2 linked regions of the Rattus norvegicus genome follow. The protein of the gene in region 2 interacts with the protein of the main gene of each other region in a biochemical or structural test. Links are inferred from orthologs where the notes say so. Each region holds a gene or a part of one and is shown on either strand. Other genes may lie near its edges. The genes, in order: Fbxl3 and Cry2.

Region 1 (8,551 bases), on a different chromosome or scaffold from region 2:
ACAGAGTGCTGACTGGAGGTCAAAACAAGTCCACTTCTCTAGGGCTCACAGCTCGCAGGACATGGGAGTGAAGAGCAAACAAGGTGGGTGGAGGTTAGGGACAAAGGACCTTGTACACTATGAACCTGAGGAAGACAGACCTTACTCACAGCAGACAATAAAATGTGGTCAAGGTCAAATAGAAACTAACTGTCAAGGTCTATTAGTCTATTCTTAGCTTCTATTCTGTAATCCTTTCAGTGATCATGCACAAGAGGCTGAGACAATAGGTAAACACACAGCACGCCTAGTACTCCGATCGCCAGACCCTCGGTGATCTGGGAGAACAAGCGAAGCAGCTGAGTGAACTGCTTAGACCGCGGTAGCATGACGGTTGTGCTGCTTTTTGGTCACACTGACGATGTTCTAAGATTAGTGATGAGGACGTAGACACTATTCTGTCAGTCATTTCAGGGAATTCCAATCCTTTGCTATACTAGGAAAATAAAACAAACCAGCACTAACAGACTGCTGACCAACACCGCTGAAGACAGGGAGGGGCTTCAGCAGCGGAGAGGTCAGCAATGAACCATCAGCACAAGGATGAGAACACATTTATACTCTTCAGTATGAACGAGTCACTTGTAATTCAAAAAATCTCACTCTGGACAATGCACTAAACTTAGAAAAGTCTACATAAAGTAGCTGGAAAGACCTCTTACAATGTTATTCCTACAATTTAAGTTTTAAAGAGAATTCTCTCTCAAAAAAAGGCAACCATACTTAAATGCATCTCTATGTAAGAAGTAACTGTGTTCTGACCCAAGGCACCGACACCTCACGTTAGTGGGATTCTAGTTTATCTCAACAAGCTCTCTCAGCAGACCTTACAGCATCACCTCGCGGTTTCAATGTGAAATGTCTCTCACAAACTCATGCTTGAACACTCTGGTCACAGCTGTTAGTGCTGGTTTAGAAGGTTGTGGAGCTTTTGGTGGAGCCTGATTAAAAGAAAGGAGGCACTGGGCTAAGGCCCAAGGTTTTATAGCTGTGGTCCACTTTCCCTACCCTTCAAAGAGGCTCTGCTGTCCTGTGTCCTACACTGAACCTTCCCAACCATCGTGACTAGCACTTATAACCATCGTGACTAGCACTTACAACCATAGTGACTAGCACTTACAACCACAGTGACTAGCACTTACAACCATAGTGACTAGCACTTACAAACTGAGCCCAGAGATGCTTCATCCACCCTTAGCTGCTTTTGTCAGATAACTCTGCCCCTGCAGCGAGTAGCTAAGAAACCTTCCTCTCTTCTCAAGTCATTTATCCATGCTCTACTCAATCTGCCACATAAAATGACTTGAAAATAGGATGAAGTCAGTCTAAGCTAGAATACTGCAGATATTACTACTGTCATTAGGACACTGAGTATTTTTTGAAGAAAAATGGTTTTGCTAATTCATTTACAAGTTCATTAGCAGAACTATTAAATAAACAAATTTCTTAACTTGAGAAACAATATAATTACTAAAAGATGTCTGGAAAAAACACGACATACCTGCTGGAGAGACATGAGGACAGCTGCTCATTTTCAGCAGCTTGAGTGTGTCACTGTTGTTGGCCACTAGGACTTTAAGGGATGGGTCATCTACTGGGGTGTCGTCTATCTTAAGTGAGGACAGGGATTTGGAGTTTACAAACACAACTGTCAGTGCAGAGATAAAGTGAGACTGAAAGACAAAAGATTAAAACAGTTTCAGTTCTTCAGAAATGACGTTACAAGGTTTCCTTACCACGCATGTCTGTCTGTGCCCTAAAGAATTTCCAAACTGTTAGAAGGCAGCAGCCCTGCATGAGGTTAGCAAAGCACAGTTAAAGAGGGGAGCACTCTGAGAAAAGCCTTTGTGCCTGTGGAGGGAAGGGTCACTTCAAGCCTCAGAATACCCTACGTGACAGCAACCTCAGAGGTCAGAGAGGAACCTATAACCCAGTCTAAGTCTCCCCCACACGCACACCTCACCATATCTGGAAGCTAAAGTCCCGTACACTGCACCACATAGGAAAGAGCATCAACAGAAAATACTGGACAATCATCAAGATGTAAGTCAGTCAACTCAAAGGCTGTAACTCAACTGAACCATGGAAGCACATACAAAGACTTTAAAACAACCAGAATCCATTTAAAAATTCCAAACTTAAAACCCTCTCAAAACACTGAATCTAAAAGATTTTCAAGTCTTGATTTTAATGTATTTTACTTATAATCTACTGAACACAGACCTAATCAAAAGGAATTCTACAGAAACAAGAACGACAGCATATGTAGAGCGCACACTGTGAATCAGAGCTGAGATGAGCTGCAATCAATGGGTACAGAACTCAGGGAAGAAAAGGAAGACCAAGCTTCAGCACACATCCGCAGAGCCAACCTCATCCTACACCTACCTCTGTAAATCCTCCACAGCAGGATCAGAGCAGGAAGCCATCCTAACAGACAATGCAGCATAAGGGAAACTACCTCCCTGCTCACAATCCTTAACTTGCTTTTCCTTTACTGTGTCTAAACAACTGATTTATAAAATTGTGCTTAAATACCTTAAGCATTAATATCATATATCTTGAAATCAAACAAGTGCACCTTCCATGACCACAGTTCCTTACTAGTAAGCCCATAACTACATACTAACGTCTTTCCTCTCTGTCCTGATGTAGTTATGGCCACATATATTTCTTCTATTTTTAATTCTTTTCAGAATAGCGAAAATCTTATTTCAATCTTTTCTAAAAAACAAAAATTAAAAAGGACAATAAGCATCTAAAGCAGCTACATCAACAGTTCTTAAATTAGCACTGCATATATAATATGTAAACTGAGATCCCAAATAATAAATCAAATTATGTTCAAAATACTTTATAACAGTTTAATCTATATAGATAATTTTTTTGTTTTTGTTTTTTTCCCCAAGATAGGATTTCTCCATGTAGCCCTGGCTGTCCTAGAACTCTCTCTGTAGTCTAGGCTGGTCTAGAACTCGCAGAGATCTGTCTGCCTCTGCTCCCCGAGTGCTGGAATTAAAGCTGTGTGCCACCACCACCATCCAGCCACATTTAAAAAATAATGGCAGGTACAAAAAGATATCAGAGTATTTCATTTCCCACTAGGCTTGAAAAAGCTGGCCCTACACTGCGTAAACTCAGTCTCCTAGAATCCTCTGGACTGTCCACAGAAGACTTGGCCTCAGCCAAATTTAGGAGTAAGAGTCCAAATCTGTACATGGCCAGACCTAAGAGTTGCAGAGACCTGACTCAGGTACATTAAACAGATTCTATTTTCCATTTTTCTTCCTTGCTCCTAAGAAAACATTCTATTTTAAAATGTACAAGATTACTGAAACTTAGAGGTTTTGAACTCACAATATTGTATTGGGTTCTGCTATTCAATTGGAAGAATTACCTACTAGTTATAATTCACACTTCCTGAGTCCCTCTAGTACAATGAACTGTGAGCCGAGCCTACATATTTGGTGCTGGAGAGATGGCCCATCAGTTAAGAACACTGGCTGCTCTTCCAGCAACCACACAGCCACTCACAGATGCCTACAACTGCAGCTCTAGGGATCCAACATGCTCTTCAGGTCTCCATGGGCATCGGGCATATACACAGCACACATACCTACACACAGGCAAAAACACGTACATACCTAAAGTAAAAATAAAGCTTTTTTCTTTAACCTACATTATTTTACTTTGTGGCATACTTTTAAAAATTCCTTTTTCAAATTGCAATTAGCTAGTTTGGGGATGCTGCTCAGTGGTTAGGACACTTGCAAGGCCACAGATGCGATTCTCAGTAACACAAACACACATTGCTACTGGGTGCAAACCAGAGAGCAGCTTTCTGGCCTTCTCAAAGGCATTCTGATAAGTTTTCTATTTCAAAGAGAACAGGTGTGGGTCAAGGCCAATTACCGCTAAGTTTTACAAACCAAGTCCCAACCCTGGAACCCACGTGGCAGAAAGAGAGAGGCTCCTGCAAGCTGTCCCAACTGTCACATGTGTACACACACCAACTAAATGTAACCAAAAAACCCCCAAGTTTTTAAAAAGAACACTTGTATGGTACACTGTTGTTTAATTAGGTATAGACCAACACAAACAGTAGTTAAATTCTCCTAAGAATAATTAAATGGCAGATAATCCAAACTCTATAGACATTAACTTTGCTTAAAGTACATTTGCCAGAAGAGTTTACATTCTGAGCAGAGTACACCTGCTCGACCCTGCATTCCTACTTCTGATGTTTCACTTCACCCACCTGATCTGACCTTCACTCCTACTTCTGATGTTTCACTTCATCCACCTGATATGACCTTCATTGCCTACTTCTGATGTTTCACTTCACCCACCTGCTCGACCCTGCATTGCTACTTCTGATGTTTCACTTCACCTACCTGATCTGAAGGCTCAGAAAGCAGCAGTGCCCATGGCTCTCTTTCTGACACGGTTAGTCTCAGTTCCACTCGCTCCTTTTAGCACTTCCACTACTCAACGGCCTTCTGTCAGGTCACTTGCTCTAACATCACCAACAACGAGGTACTGCTTGAGAGCATATTGTACTGCTGCTCTGGTACAGGACCTAGGTTTGGTTACCAGCACTCACATGCTAACTCCTACCTGCCTGTAACTCCAGATCCTGGGGATATGACACCTTTTTCTGGCCTCTGCAGGCATCAGACACACATGAGGCACACATACTTACATGGAAATAGGATGCTTATACACACTAAGAAATTAAAAACTCCTTAAAATTGCATTCTAAATACTTTCTCAAGACTGTAAACCACCACCAGCTCTCCAGTGCACATCCTGCTCTGCTGTCCTGTCTGCCTCACTGTAGGCACTAACAATGGATTCCTCTGCAAAAGGAAATACACCAGCCCAGCAGATACCTTTGGTAGATCCATAAAGCTTGGCCGAGCAGTTGAAATAAGTCCAAGCGTTTTTAAAGAGCAATTCACAAGCTGCGATAATATATCACAAGCTGCTTCAGCGGATTCTTTGCTGCTGTCCACCTTAGAAAGAAAACACGGCTTATTCACGTACATACCCACATTTCTCTTTGAGTATCTTAATCTTAGAAAGGCAAGAAATATAGTTACTAATTTGGCCCATTATCATTTAAAGGACAAGGATTTTTAATCATTTCTGTCCCACAGCCTCAGTCTAATTTTCAAGAATGTGTTCATTATAGTATACACACACATATATATGTATGTATATACATATATATAAAAATTTGGTGCTGTAAGACTAAATTGACTTATTTCAAACTAACTATAAAATCAATCAATTTTGTGTTTCAGTAATAATTTGTACTTGGTCAAATCACATAATACATGTAAACAGTGTCTATGATGAACTGTTTCAGGGCACCAGAAGAAACTAGTATCTATTTGTTTAGAATTCTCAGATGAACCACACAACCTGAAATTCTCTAATGCTTTTAATAGAAAGATAAATATAGAATAAAATAAGGGTGTCTAACTAAACAAGCACAAAATAATAGGAACCAAAATAGAGGCAGCTGCTCTTACACACTTCCTGCTGAGACGTTTCTTGAAGAAAACAACATTATCAAACACCAACCCCTGAAGGGGAAACATCAGTTTTTCTCTAGACTAAAAATGTTAAAATATAGTACCATTATTCTTATTTCTAAATTTGTGTTTTACTGAATCCCAAAGGTGCTCTTAAATGCTATAGTGTGTGAAACTAGCGTACTAATTACAGTTTTCAAAATGAACTTGCCGGATCACAGGAAAGTCATCAAGTACTGAAGACATTCCCATTCTTATGCTTAAACCACGTGGCTGAGAGACTCTGAGGGGACTGAGCACGGTTTTTGGCTTTACACTTCCCTTGGTGAGACTACTGAACGGTCTGAAAAGCACTGATCTGGACTAATAAATCTGACTCTAAGTTTTTTCAGTCTATACTGACCACTAAGAAGCCAGAATAATCCCTGCAATGTGTCTGCTTTCTAAATTAGAAAATACTTCTTCACACGCAGACATCCCGAATGAGAAATGTTAAACACAGCTGGATGTATGAGTCATGTATGTTGGACAGAGCTGACTTGTGTCAGAGAACCCAGCTGACCTACCATATGCAGGAATGATCTTTACAATTCCTTTCTATAGATTTGCCATTGCAATGCTCTAGGGCAACTCAAAGATGAATAAAACCGAAGGGAAAGCACTTCAGGTTCCCTCCATGGAGTGGGGTAAGGAATTCCTCAACATTTGTTTGCTTGAATCCTACCCCTTATCAAACAAATAATACATCCAATTGGAATTTCAGGTAAACAAAACAATAATTTCTATCAATAGGTATCTGTGGGATGCATCCACACTAATCATTATCAGTGAAGTCCAGTAAAATTAATGAACTAGGCACCTTTTTTTCCCTCTTGACACAGAGTCCTTCCTGCTAAGTATCTCTGGCTAGCATTGAACTCACCCTCAGCCCCGGCTGGTCTTAACAGGTATCCTGAGAACTTTCTCTTTGGCTATAACTGACAATGCTATGCCTAACAAGCTAGGGCTTTTATGCACACAATCTCTTCAGTCACACTTACTACCAAGCTCTCCTACCTCACAAGGAAGATAGCATCTAGTGACGGCATGAAGCTCTGGGTTAGGACCACTGCTTAGAACAGATTTATCATGGCCCTTTAGCAAACAGAAAATAGAGGGAAACCAGGCAATTCTTGTCCTTTTACTACAGTTTTTGCTTTTTATCTTTACCATTTTGAAGAGATAAGTTCTGACTGCATATAGGGCAGGAAGGCCTTAAACTGTTGACTCTTGCCTCAGACTCCCCAGCATGCTTTTTAGCCCACTTTTATCTTTTAACAATAATTACCATTTAGAAATCATATAGGAAACAATTAGCGTTAAGGAGTCAGCAAGCATCCCATATTTCTTTCTTCTCTCCAAAATACAGTGTGATTTTGTTCTCACACGAGCTACTGCAATCAATATATTCAGATCTCAAAATGCCTCCTCCCTCACCCACCTCAATATTTGTGAATCTTGTATGTCCATTGCAACATGTCCATTTTTCCACGAATCCTCCTGTTTTCTTCTAAAATATTCTCAAATTATTTAGTCTCTATATATTTTTGTTTTGTTTTTAAGGTAAAAACATACCACAACCATGCACTCCTTTAATCCCAGCACTCAGGAGCAGAAGCAGGCAATTGAGAGTGAGACCAGCCTGATCTACAGAATGAGTTCCAGGACAGCCAAAACTATTTGGAAAAACCCTGTTTCAAAACACCACCACCACCCCCCCAAACAAAACAAAACAAAACAAAACAAAACAAAACAAAAAAAACCAAAAAAAGCAAAAAAACAAAACAAGACCAAAAAACCCACCCCCAAATCAAATCCCAAACCAAACCAGCCACAATGCAGTGGTTCTTAACCTTCCTAAGGCTATGAACCTTTGATACAGTTCCTCATGTTATTGTGACCCCAACCATAAAAGTTACTTCATAAAGTAACAATGTAACACCCTAAAGGAGTCTGGACCAGTAGGCTGAGACCCACCGCCCTAATGTTTATTGTTTAGTTCTCTTTCCTCAAATTTGCTGCCAACCATCCACCATTAAGTTCAAACTTCAGTCAATTATTTATGCTCACTTAGTGGCTTCCTTTGCTCTTTTAAGAAATTAACTGTAAAGGACTATTTTAGTTCCAGCAAATATAAAAATTATTTGTAAAGAACTCTAAGGCATGCAATAATTTTAAAATATTAAGCACTTTCCCTGAAAATTTAACTATTTTAAGGACATAAGAAGTTGTATTGGTTAATATTAAAGTCAGTAAACATGCTTCTATTTTCTAACAGAAGGAGTGGGGGTATTACCTTGAAGCTGACATACTGCAGATGATTTGAATGCCTCTTAATAATCTGTTTGATCAGCTCTGGATGTGTAGCTTTCAAGTAAGATGTAGCTGGCTGATTCAGTTCAAATTCAAAACATCGCCACAAGTCAGGCATGTGAAATACCTGATTCCAATTCCGGCACACTTGAGAAGCATGAGCCCGGTCAAGAAGAGGCAAATACTTAAAAACGTGGAGGACAATGTCCTGAAGAAGGTTACCCCAGTCACAAGGCTGCGAGCACTCATGTGTTGTCCTTGGTTTCTTAGGCTTCTCAGCAGTGCCTTCCTCAGGTGAGTCCTGGTCACTATCTCTTCCTCCTCGTTTCATCCTATTTAGAGAAAGCCATCATTTTTTCCCATCCTACTCAACTTTTAATCAAATTCATTTTCTGTCACTGAACCATGTGTTTGGATTTGGACAGTTAAACAGAAATATGCATGAAAACCGGAACCAACAATTCAAGGAGAATACAAAAATACAATGAAAACTGCTAGTGGAGATGAACATTTCTGGGGTGATTTTAAACTTTTATACTTAAAACTACTTATCATTTAAGTAACCCATTAACCTATAACTCAAAACTTATAGTCAACTACTTAAAGTAACTGTAAAGGAG
Region 2 (8,551 bases):
GTGAGCGCCTCTGTTGGTCTTTGGAAATGGATTGAGAGTTCGCTGTGTTCCTGGCTGTTTAGCAGTGATGCGGAGACCTTGTTGTGGTGGCAGCCTCGGGCTTCTGGTGCCTGAGCTGGGAATACTGTGTCTTCCCACCTAGGTTAGTACAGAGTTTGTTCTGTGTTCTCAGTGTTCTTTCCTACTTCAGTTACTCTCCAGAGACAGGGAATGCTTTTATTTAATAGCTAAGTAGCTGGGGAACTAAATAAGTCAGTCATAGTCATCCCACAGACTGAGCATCGAAGTCAAGACAAGAACATGGCCATTTCTCCTTCCTAGAGTCAGGCAGGAGAGGAGAATGCACACAGTGCTCCCAGCCTGGCTTTAGGGCCTTTCTTTGGGTTTTGTTTTTTGACCATAGATGAAGGTCAACACCTAGGCCTGACCTTGTGTTACCTCTCTTCTGCAGGCCTGGGTTGCCAACTATGAGAGACCTCGGATGAATGCCAATTCCTTGCTGGCCAGCCCCACAGGCCTCAGCCCCTACCTGCGCTTTGGCTGCCTCTCCTGCCGCCTCTTCTACTACCGCCTGTGGGACTTGTACAGAAAGGTGAGGTGCAGGGAACATGCACTGTGCCAGTCATCCCAGAAAAGGCCCCTTCTCTTTGGCTTTGGGACTGGGTTGTGAGAGTTCTGGAAACACTTAGTTCAGAGAAGCCAAAGATGGTTTGTTTCCTAGAGGTGACAGCTGGGCACAACTGAGTCACCAATGTGAATGAACCCAGCTTCTCCTGTGTTCTGGAGACAAAAAGCTGGCCTTGGGGGCTTTAGAGCTGGTGTCCTCACTAACAGCTGATAAGGAAAGGCTTGGGACCTGGGGAGGGAAGTGAGTGTTGAGGCAAGAGGCAGTCATAGCAAAGGCTCAGCTGCCCTCACTGGAGCTGGGACTGGAGTTTAAAGGGAAGTCCAGAGCTGGCCTGGAAGGGCTGCATACAGGACCGGGCCACGCAGCCCACAGGCTCTGTCAGAGCATTCCACAGAGATGCTCCTTAGGTCATGTGGTGCCTTGGTATTTAGTGTTGCTTTCCCCAACCCAGCCAGTATTAGCTTCATGGAATAGGGTAGCTTGGTAGGTTTGGTGGCTAGGTCATCAGGGGAGGAGGAGATCATTGTACAGTGTCCAACCTAATCCACTCATGTCTTGGACTGTTGTTTATACATTATTTAACCAAAATCCAGACTTAGTACTTTGTAATATTTTTAATACTGTATATTCTGATCACAGCTCCCCATTCCCCAATTACTTCTAGATTCTCCCTACTTTCCACCCAGTCAAGCCCACAGTCTTTCTTTCTCTGTCTCACTAGAATACAAACAGACATCTACAAAAAAAGAGGAAGAAAAAAACCCCTGAACTGGACAGAACTAATGAACAGGAGGAAAAAGCCCACATATAAGCACATACATTCACACACATGGAAGTCCCATAAAGCACAGAACCAAGACTATAATATATATGCAAAAGACCTGCATGCTGCAAGATTTAAATGAAGGAAGGAAGGAAGGAAGGAAGGAAGGAAGGAAGGAAGGGTGGAAGGGTGGAAGGGTGGAAGGAAGGGTGAGCCCAGCCAAAGTATTATGAGACACCCCCACCACCCAAAAAAAAAAATCCTCCAAAAGCACCATTGAGTTTCCTTGTGTTCACCACCTAAGTCAGTGTGTATACCCGAAAAGACTGCATTGGAGAAAGTGAATTTCCCTGTGAGCACTTATCAATTGGAAGTAGCTTCTGGGTTAGTGATGGGTGTGTCCACTTCCTCTGATGTGGGATCTCTTCTGACTTAGACCTGTGCAGGCCCTGTGCGTGCAGCCAGTCTGCGTGAGCTCGCTGAGCTTCAGCCCTGCTGTCTAGCAGGCCTGGTTTCTACGCTGTCTTCCATCCCCTCTGACTCTTACAGTCTTTTCATCTCCTCTTACAAAGAGCTCCCTGAGCCGAGGGGAGAGATTTGATGGAGACATTCCTATTTAGGACTGAGAATCCTGAAGTGTCTCACTCTCTGACTTTGTCCAGTTGTGGGTCCCTGTATTTGTTCCCATCTACTGCAAGAGGAAACTTCTAATGATGGCAGAGCAAGACACTCTATGACTATCTGAATGTCACTGGGAGTCATTTTATTGCTACATTCCTTTAACAAAATGGTAATGTTTGGTTTTCCTATAGGTTCGTGGCCCCTGGGCAGTGTCAGGGATGGCCTCATCTCATGGAGTGGGTCTTGAATTCACGTTGTACCAGTGTGTTACAGGCAGGCCACCATTGTAGACCAGAGGGTTTGCAACTGGTAGCGTGCAGAGCACTGTGAGCTCTCATTAGTAGGGGAAGGTGCTAAGTAGACACCACTCGCCCTCTCTAGGTTCAGTGAGTTGTTTAGCTGTTCAGATTTCATGTTTTTAGTTGCTGACGATGTGTAACATCCCATCAGGTTTCTAGAAGGTAGAGCCACAGGATTCAGAGTAGTCTTGAAGAATTTGGTTCCCGTGACAGTTCCATGGCACCACTTATTCCCCCAACCCACCGCTTAAGCCATTCCTGTTGCCCAGGGCAGGGCTGCATGTTGCACACTGTGAATCTTTGAAGTATCGACCCTCTATGCACCTCAGGGATTTGGAGCCACGGCTCTTGGGAGACACTCCAGGTTGTTCTGTGCAGGAGACACAGTGCTAAGAGCCAGGCAGGCTCTCATCTCTGTGTACTGTGCCCTCCTCTTAGGTGAAGAGGAACAGCACACCCCCCCTCTCCTTATTTGGACAACTCCTATGGCGAGAATTCTTCTATACAGCGGCCACCAACAACCCCAGGTTTGACCGAATGGAGGGGAACCCCATCTGCATCCAGATCCCCTGGGACCGCAACCCCGAAGCCCTGGCCAAGTGGGCCGAGGGCAAGACAGGCTTCCCTTGGATTGACGCCATCATGACCCAACTGAGGCAGGAGGGCTGGATCCACCACCTGGCCCGGCACGCTGTGGCCTGCTTCCTCACCCGAGGGGACCTCTGGGTCAGCTGGGAGAGCGGGGTCCGGGTGAGTGCAAACTGGCCTGAACCCTGTGACCAGGCCTAGCCAAGGGCAGCTCCTTGTAGGCTGGGGCTGGGGTGGGATTCCTGGGTCCAGGAGATCCCTCTGCATCCTCTGGGCCCTCAACAGAAGGCTTTGGCGCCCTGAGGGTATTACAGATTTGGAAAGAACCAGAGGCGTCGGGTTTCCAAGGAGGCTGGTTTTCCCCCATCTAGGTATTTGATGAGTTGCTCCTGGATGCAGATTTCAGCGTGAATGCAGGCAGCTGGATGTGGCTGTCCTGCAGTGCTTTCTTCCAACAGTTCTTCCACTGCTACTGCCCTGTGGGCTTTGGCCGACGCACGGACCCCAGTGGGGACTACATCCGGTAAGGATGCACACCAGACTCTTTGACTCTGGACCACTGTGGCCTCCTCCTGGACTGGGGTACCCTAGACCCTTTAAAGAAGAGTCACAGTGTGCTGACACATTACCTGATGTGTGTTTCAGGCGATACCTGCCCAAACTGAAAGGCTTCCCCTCTCGATATATCTATGAGCCCTGGAATGCTCCCGAGTCGGTTCAGAAGGCCGCTAAGTGCATCATTGGCGTGGACTACCCACGGCCCATCGTCAACCACGCAGAGACTAGTCGGCTCAACATTGAGCGGATGAAGCAGATCTACCAACAGCTGTCACGATACCGGGGGCTCTGTAAGGACCCCTCCCCCACTGGCATGTCACTCACCAGGGAGGGCTTGACCTGAAAGCTTGTGCAGGTGTTTGCTGCCCCCAGGCCGTGGTAGACACTGCAGGCTGGGCCAGGGTGGGCTGCTGAAGCAGCTGTGGGATGTTGGAAAAGATGGAGACTGTGTCCTGGTCCTGCGCTCCTGGCTCATTTGTCTCCCATGACTTGCAGCCCTCTTAATCTTGTGTGTGTTCTGACTACCCTTTACTTAATCCCCCAGGTCTGTTGGCATCTGTCCCTTCCTGTGTAGAAGACCTCAGTCACCCTGTGGCAGAGCCTGGTTCTAGCCAGGCTGGGAGCATCAGCAACACAGGTGACCAGTCTGTGGCCTGTGCCACCACCACATTAGTCATTCAGGGCTGAGGCCAAGAGAACACTTGGCTGGGGAGGTTGATATCCCACCTAGGCACAGTCAGACAATCAAGTAAGGACATTCACCTAAGGATTTTAGAGGGAAGTAGCGCTGAGTGCTTGATGTGGGACTGGGGACAGGGCTCCTTTAGGATCAGCCTGAGGGCACCTCTTTAAGCACTGTTTAGCATCATCTTGATAAGAACCACGAAAGGAAGTAGCAAGAAGGCCCCAAAAGCAGGCTTGAACAGAGCCCACTCTAGGAGCAGAAGGATCAGAATCAGGGATGAGGGGAGCAGGGCAGCTTTGGCACAGGCTGCCCTGCCTTCCTGCACTGAAGGTAGTCAGCAGGGCAAGGCAAAACCCCACTGCCTGCCACAGAAACAGTAAACAATGGGGAGATGAGGAGGAAGGTGGCTCAGGGTGTGGGCAGGAGAAGCGGCAGGAAAGAGCAAGGGTGCTGGTCAGTTTGGGATGCTCCACAACATAAAAGTTGCCAAAACCCTGGGATTTTCCCAGGACTGCAAAGGAAAGCCTTACCCTCCGAGCAAGGACTGCTCTGTGCCACATCAGTCTCTGGCCCGGAGCCAGGGATCTGCGCAGCAGAAGTTGGCCCACTGCCAGCAGGCTGGGCCAGGCCTCCTCCTGCAGCCAAGTGAGGTCACCGCTGAAAAGGAGGTCAGGGCAGGGCTCCCTTCCCCAAGAGCAGTCACTGCACAGCACGAGACCATTGCGGTATGTAACCATGACTTGTTTCTGTGTGGGTCACTCTCCACAGGCCCCAGACCACTGTCCAGTGGCCCAGCCTCCCCCAAACGCAAGCTGGAAGCAGCTGAGGAACCTCCAGGTGAAGAACTGAGCAAGCGGGCTAGAGTGACAGTGACTCAGATGCCTGCCCAGGAGCCACCAAGCAAGGACTCCTGAGAGTGAGTCCGCGCAGAGGGGGGCAGGCTGTGGTTTAAAAAGCTGTCGCTTGCCAGATGGAGGTTCAAACAGCAAAACAGATCAAAATCTTATGGGGGTCCTATTTTAGCTCAAAATCCCACCATTCTGGCTTTCATACCTTCTAAACCAGTAGTTCTCAACCTCGTAATGCTGCAGCCCTCAAATGCAGTTCCTCACATCGTGGTGACCCGAACCATAGAGTTAATCTCATTGCTACTTCAGACATGTAAGTTTGCCCCTGTTGTGACTCATCATGTAAGCATCTGAGAGTCAAGGTATCTAATATGCAGTGCCCAAAGGGGTCACAGCCCACAGGTTGAGAACCACTCCTCTAAACCTTTATTGGAGGGGAGGGGGTGGTTCGTTTATTTGTTTGAGACAGAGCTTCACTGGGTAGTTGAGGATAATTTTGGACCTGTAGCAATCCTCCTGCCTCATACTCCTGAGTGCTGGAATTTCAGATGTGAGCCACCATGTCTAGTTTACCCTCTAAAACTTAAAAGGAGAAAAAAAATGTTTTTAAGGACGAAGGGTTTATTTTGGAAGAAATAAATTTAGAAGTTGAAACCCTTTGATTTATGGCAAGGGTGAAGTGGGAGAGGGGGTAGTTTTGTTCTTTTTGTTTCCTTGACCTTTCTGGCTCTTAACATGAGCAAAACATGAGGTCCTGATGTGAGGCTATGAAGCAGTGGTGGGAGGCTGTGTTCTGTAGGCAGGCCACAGGAGGGCGACACTGAGGTTCAGATGGCAGGAAAGGGCTCAGCCCAGCCTTGGGGGATCAGAGGGCCCAGTTGTCTCTGCCTCTGCTTGCAGGGTCTCTTCTCTTCTCACTGGAGCTCATCTTTCTGCATCCGCAGTCATTCACAGAGGAAAGAGGCAAACAGAGAGGGAGGGCGTGTCAGTGTCAGCCTCCGCCCTGTTCCTCCTTCCCGAGGCAGGAAGGTTTCTAGGCCAGCACTGGAGAAGTGTAGGTCGCCATCCTCCCAGTCAGGCTGTTCCCGACACCTGCATCAGTAGATTGGAGGTGCTTTCCACCATGGAACTGCTTGGGTCTTCTCTGGTCCTGATCACTCAGGGCCTCCCTCAGCGGGGCTTCTGCAGTGTCTTGGTTTATGTGCTTATCCAGGTGGCAGGCACTTAGTGCTTTGTCCTCTAGACATTGCCAGCAGGAGGACAAGGTTGTGCTGCCTTGTCCCTGGAAGAGCCACCACCATAGATGCCATGTTCTCTGTGGTGCTAAGCACAGAGTGTGATAGCTAATGAATTTGCTTGGTTAACTTCCTGCCAGGCTGGTGCTGAAGGACAGGAATTCCTGCAGAGCTGCTGGTCTTCCATATGCATATGTACTGGTCAAAGAAGCTGGGTTCTGATGTCAGTGAAGAATGGCAGCAGCAGCAGCAGAGTAGATGCCCTTAGCAGCAAGGAGCTCAGTCAGACAGAAGCAGCCCTGCTTTTCCCTCGGATCTCCATATCTGGGCTACTGCTGTAAGGCACCGCCCTGGGGAGACTCCTACCCTTCAGTTAGACCTTCTAGAGCATGTCCACACAGACCCACTTGGAGACAAGTCCCTTGCTCCCAAATCCAATCAAGATGACAACTAATATTAACCCTCATGTCTGTGAAATGCTTTGTAGCTCTTGTCACCTGCCCTACTGTTGGGGCACACAGACTAGGATGTCAAGGAGAAAGTCAGAAGTTTTATCTGAAAAGTCTAACTGAGAGAAGCACACAGGCAGAGGGAGACTCAGAGAGGCCTTGCATGTGCTTCCAAGTGACTTTGATCACATGACTGGTGGGTCACAGAGAGGAAGGAGGCTGTGGGCCCAGTCAGTTGTGTGGATGGGAAGATGTGTCCCCTTCTGCCTATCTCTAGTCATGTGACTTGGACTTGAGGCCAAGGGTCTGAGTGATCCTTCCCCGAGTTCAGTCTCTTAGCTCTGCTCTGCAGCACTGAGATCCTGCTGTTAATGAGCAGTCATTACACTTTAAATCAGTACTCCAGAAAAACATCTCTAGCTTCCATGCTCACCTTAAACCCATGCCAACCGAATGTTCTACATTTAGTTTCCACAATGTTCACTAAACTGAAAAGAGAAAACACTGAGCTTCCAAATAGCAATCCTGTCAGCTGCTGCTGTAACCCCCAAGGCTGCTGACACAGGATTCCATCAACATCCGGTTATGCCCTGGCTCCTCTCATTGGTCCAGTGATCTGACCACCGGGCAGCACTTGTGCTTCACCTCCCTGCCTAGCTAGCACTGCACTGCAATCTTTCAAGAGAAGCCCTCCACGCACAGAGGGCCATGGCTAAGGAGCCCCTTCCCTCACTGGTCCATGATCTGTTAGTGCAGAGGTATCCTTGCCTACACCATGACTTCCAGAATCCCCATTGTTCCCCTGACACTCGCTCAACTTGTACATGACAGGTGTATTGCTGACAACCTATCTGGTGTGGAGATGGAGCAGCCCAGCCCTCCCAAAGAGCTGCGTCCTGGGCCTGTGGTCCTGGCTGCAGAATATCCAGGGGTATCTTAGCTGAGTCTCGGCTCCTGACTTGGAGCCATAAGAAAGGTGGCTCAGTGCTTTCCATAAATGATAAATGTTGGTGGAGATGTGTTTAAACTGATCTCAGGAACATATAACGTGTACATGTGTTAGAACTGCACATGGTAAGCTAAGCATAGTGATGCCTGCTTGGAATCCCAGCACTAGGGAAACTAAGGAAGGAGGATCAGGAGTTCAAGGTCATCCTTAGTTAAATAGCAAATTCAAGGCCAACCTGGATTATATGAGATCCTGTGTATGAAGAGAAGAGAGATGGGGTAAATATTTTTCTAAAAATCACATATGTCATTATGTACAATTTTATGTGTCAGTTAAAATGAATTTAAAATAGAAAAAGGTATGTCCATCTAAGGAAAAGGTATGACTAGACACCGCAGGGCCTTTTTCAAGGGAAGATGACTGAAATGATACTTGGTTTAAAGAACAAGAACCTAGGAACTGCCCGCATGCTTCCACTTCTGCTGTGTATTCTGTCCAGCGTCTAAAATCTAGAGAGTATCACACTCCTCGTGCCGTTGGCTTTAGCTTCAGGGTGAGGCCTTAAAAGGATTGCTTGAGCTCTGAACACCTTTAGTCCTACCACCTAAGAGCTAGAAACAGGAAGGTCAGGAGTCTGAGGCTGCCTCCACTGTATAAGAAGATACCTGAAATAGGGTGAAGTGCTAGGAGGCTAGAGGCTCTCCAAATATGTCTGGGTTTTGTTTTGTTTTTGAGACAGGGTTTCTCTATGTAGCCCTGGCTGTCCTGGAATTCACTCTATAGATCAGACTGTCCTTGAGGTCAGAGACTGCCTGCCTCTGTCTCTTGAGTGCTGGGATGAGTGAGGTGTGCCCACCACTGCCCATCCGGCTGACTTTTAAGAGCGTCCCCATTTCTACAGTCTTTGACTTTATTTTGTTCAAGTTTC

Evidence for each region.
Region 1: the proteins of Cry2 (region 2) and Fbxl3 form a complex in vitro, tested with the Homo sapiens proteins (2 studies listed by BioGRID, with this or other methods). The link is inferred for Rattus norvegicus from reciprocal best matches to the Homo sapiens genes CRY2 and FBXL3.

Annotation. Positions count from the first base shown.
Region 1 is NC_086033.1:86,329,094-86,337,644, forward strand, and holds part of Fbxl3 (F-box/LRR-repeat protein 3), read right to left. Parts: intron 8,264-8,551; 5' UTR 8,263-8,263; coding exon 7,915-8,262; intron 5,055-7,914; coding exon 4,932-5,054; intron 1,713-4,931; coding exon 1,541-1,712; intron 1-1,540. UniProt on the Homo sapiens protein: Substrate-recognition component of the SCF(FBXL3) E3 ubiquitin ligase complex involved in circadian rhythm function. Plays a key role in the maintenance of both the speed and the robustness of the circadian clock oscillation.
Region 2 is NC_086021.1:98,833,972-98,842,522, reverse strand, and holds part of Cry2 (cryptochrome-2), read left to right. Parts: intron 1-451; coding exon 452-592; intron 593-2,749; coding exon 2,750-3,061; intron 3,062-3,270; coding exon 3,271-3,422; intron 3,423-3,544; coding exon 3,545-3,747; intron 3,748-4,001; coding exon 4,002-4,094; intron 4,095-4,910; coding exon 4,911-5,056; 3' UTR 5,057-5,058; intron 5,059-8,551. UniProt on the Homo sapiens protein: Transcriptional repressor which forms a core component of the circadian clock.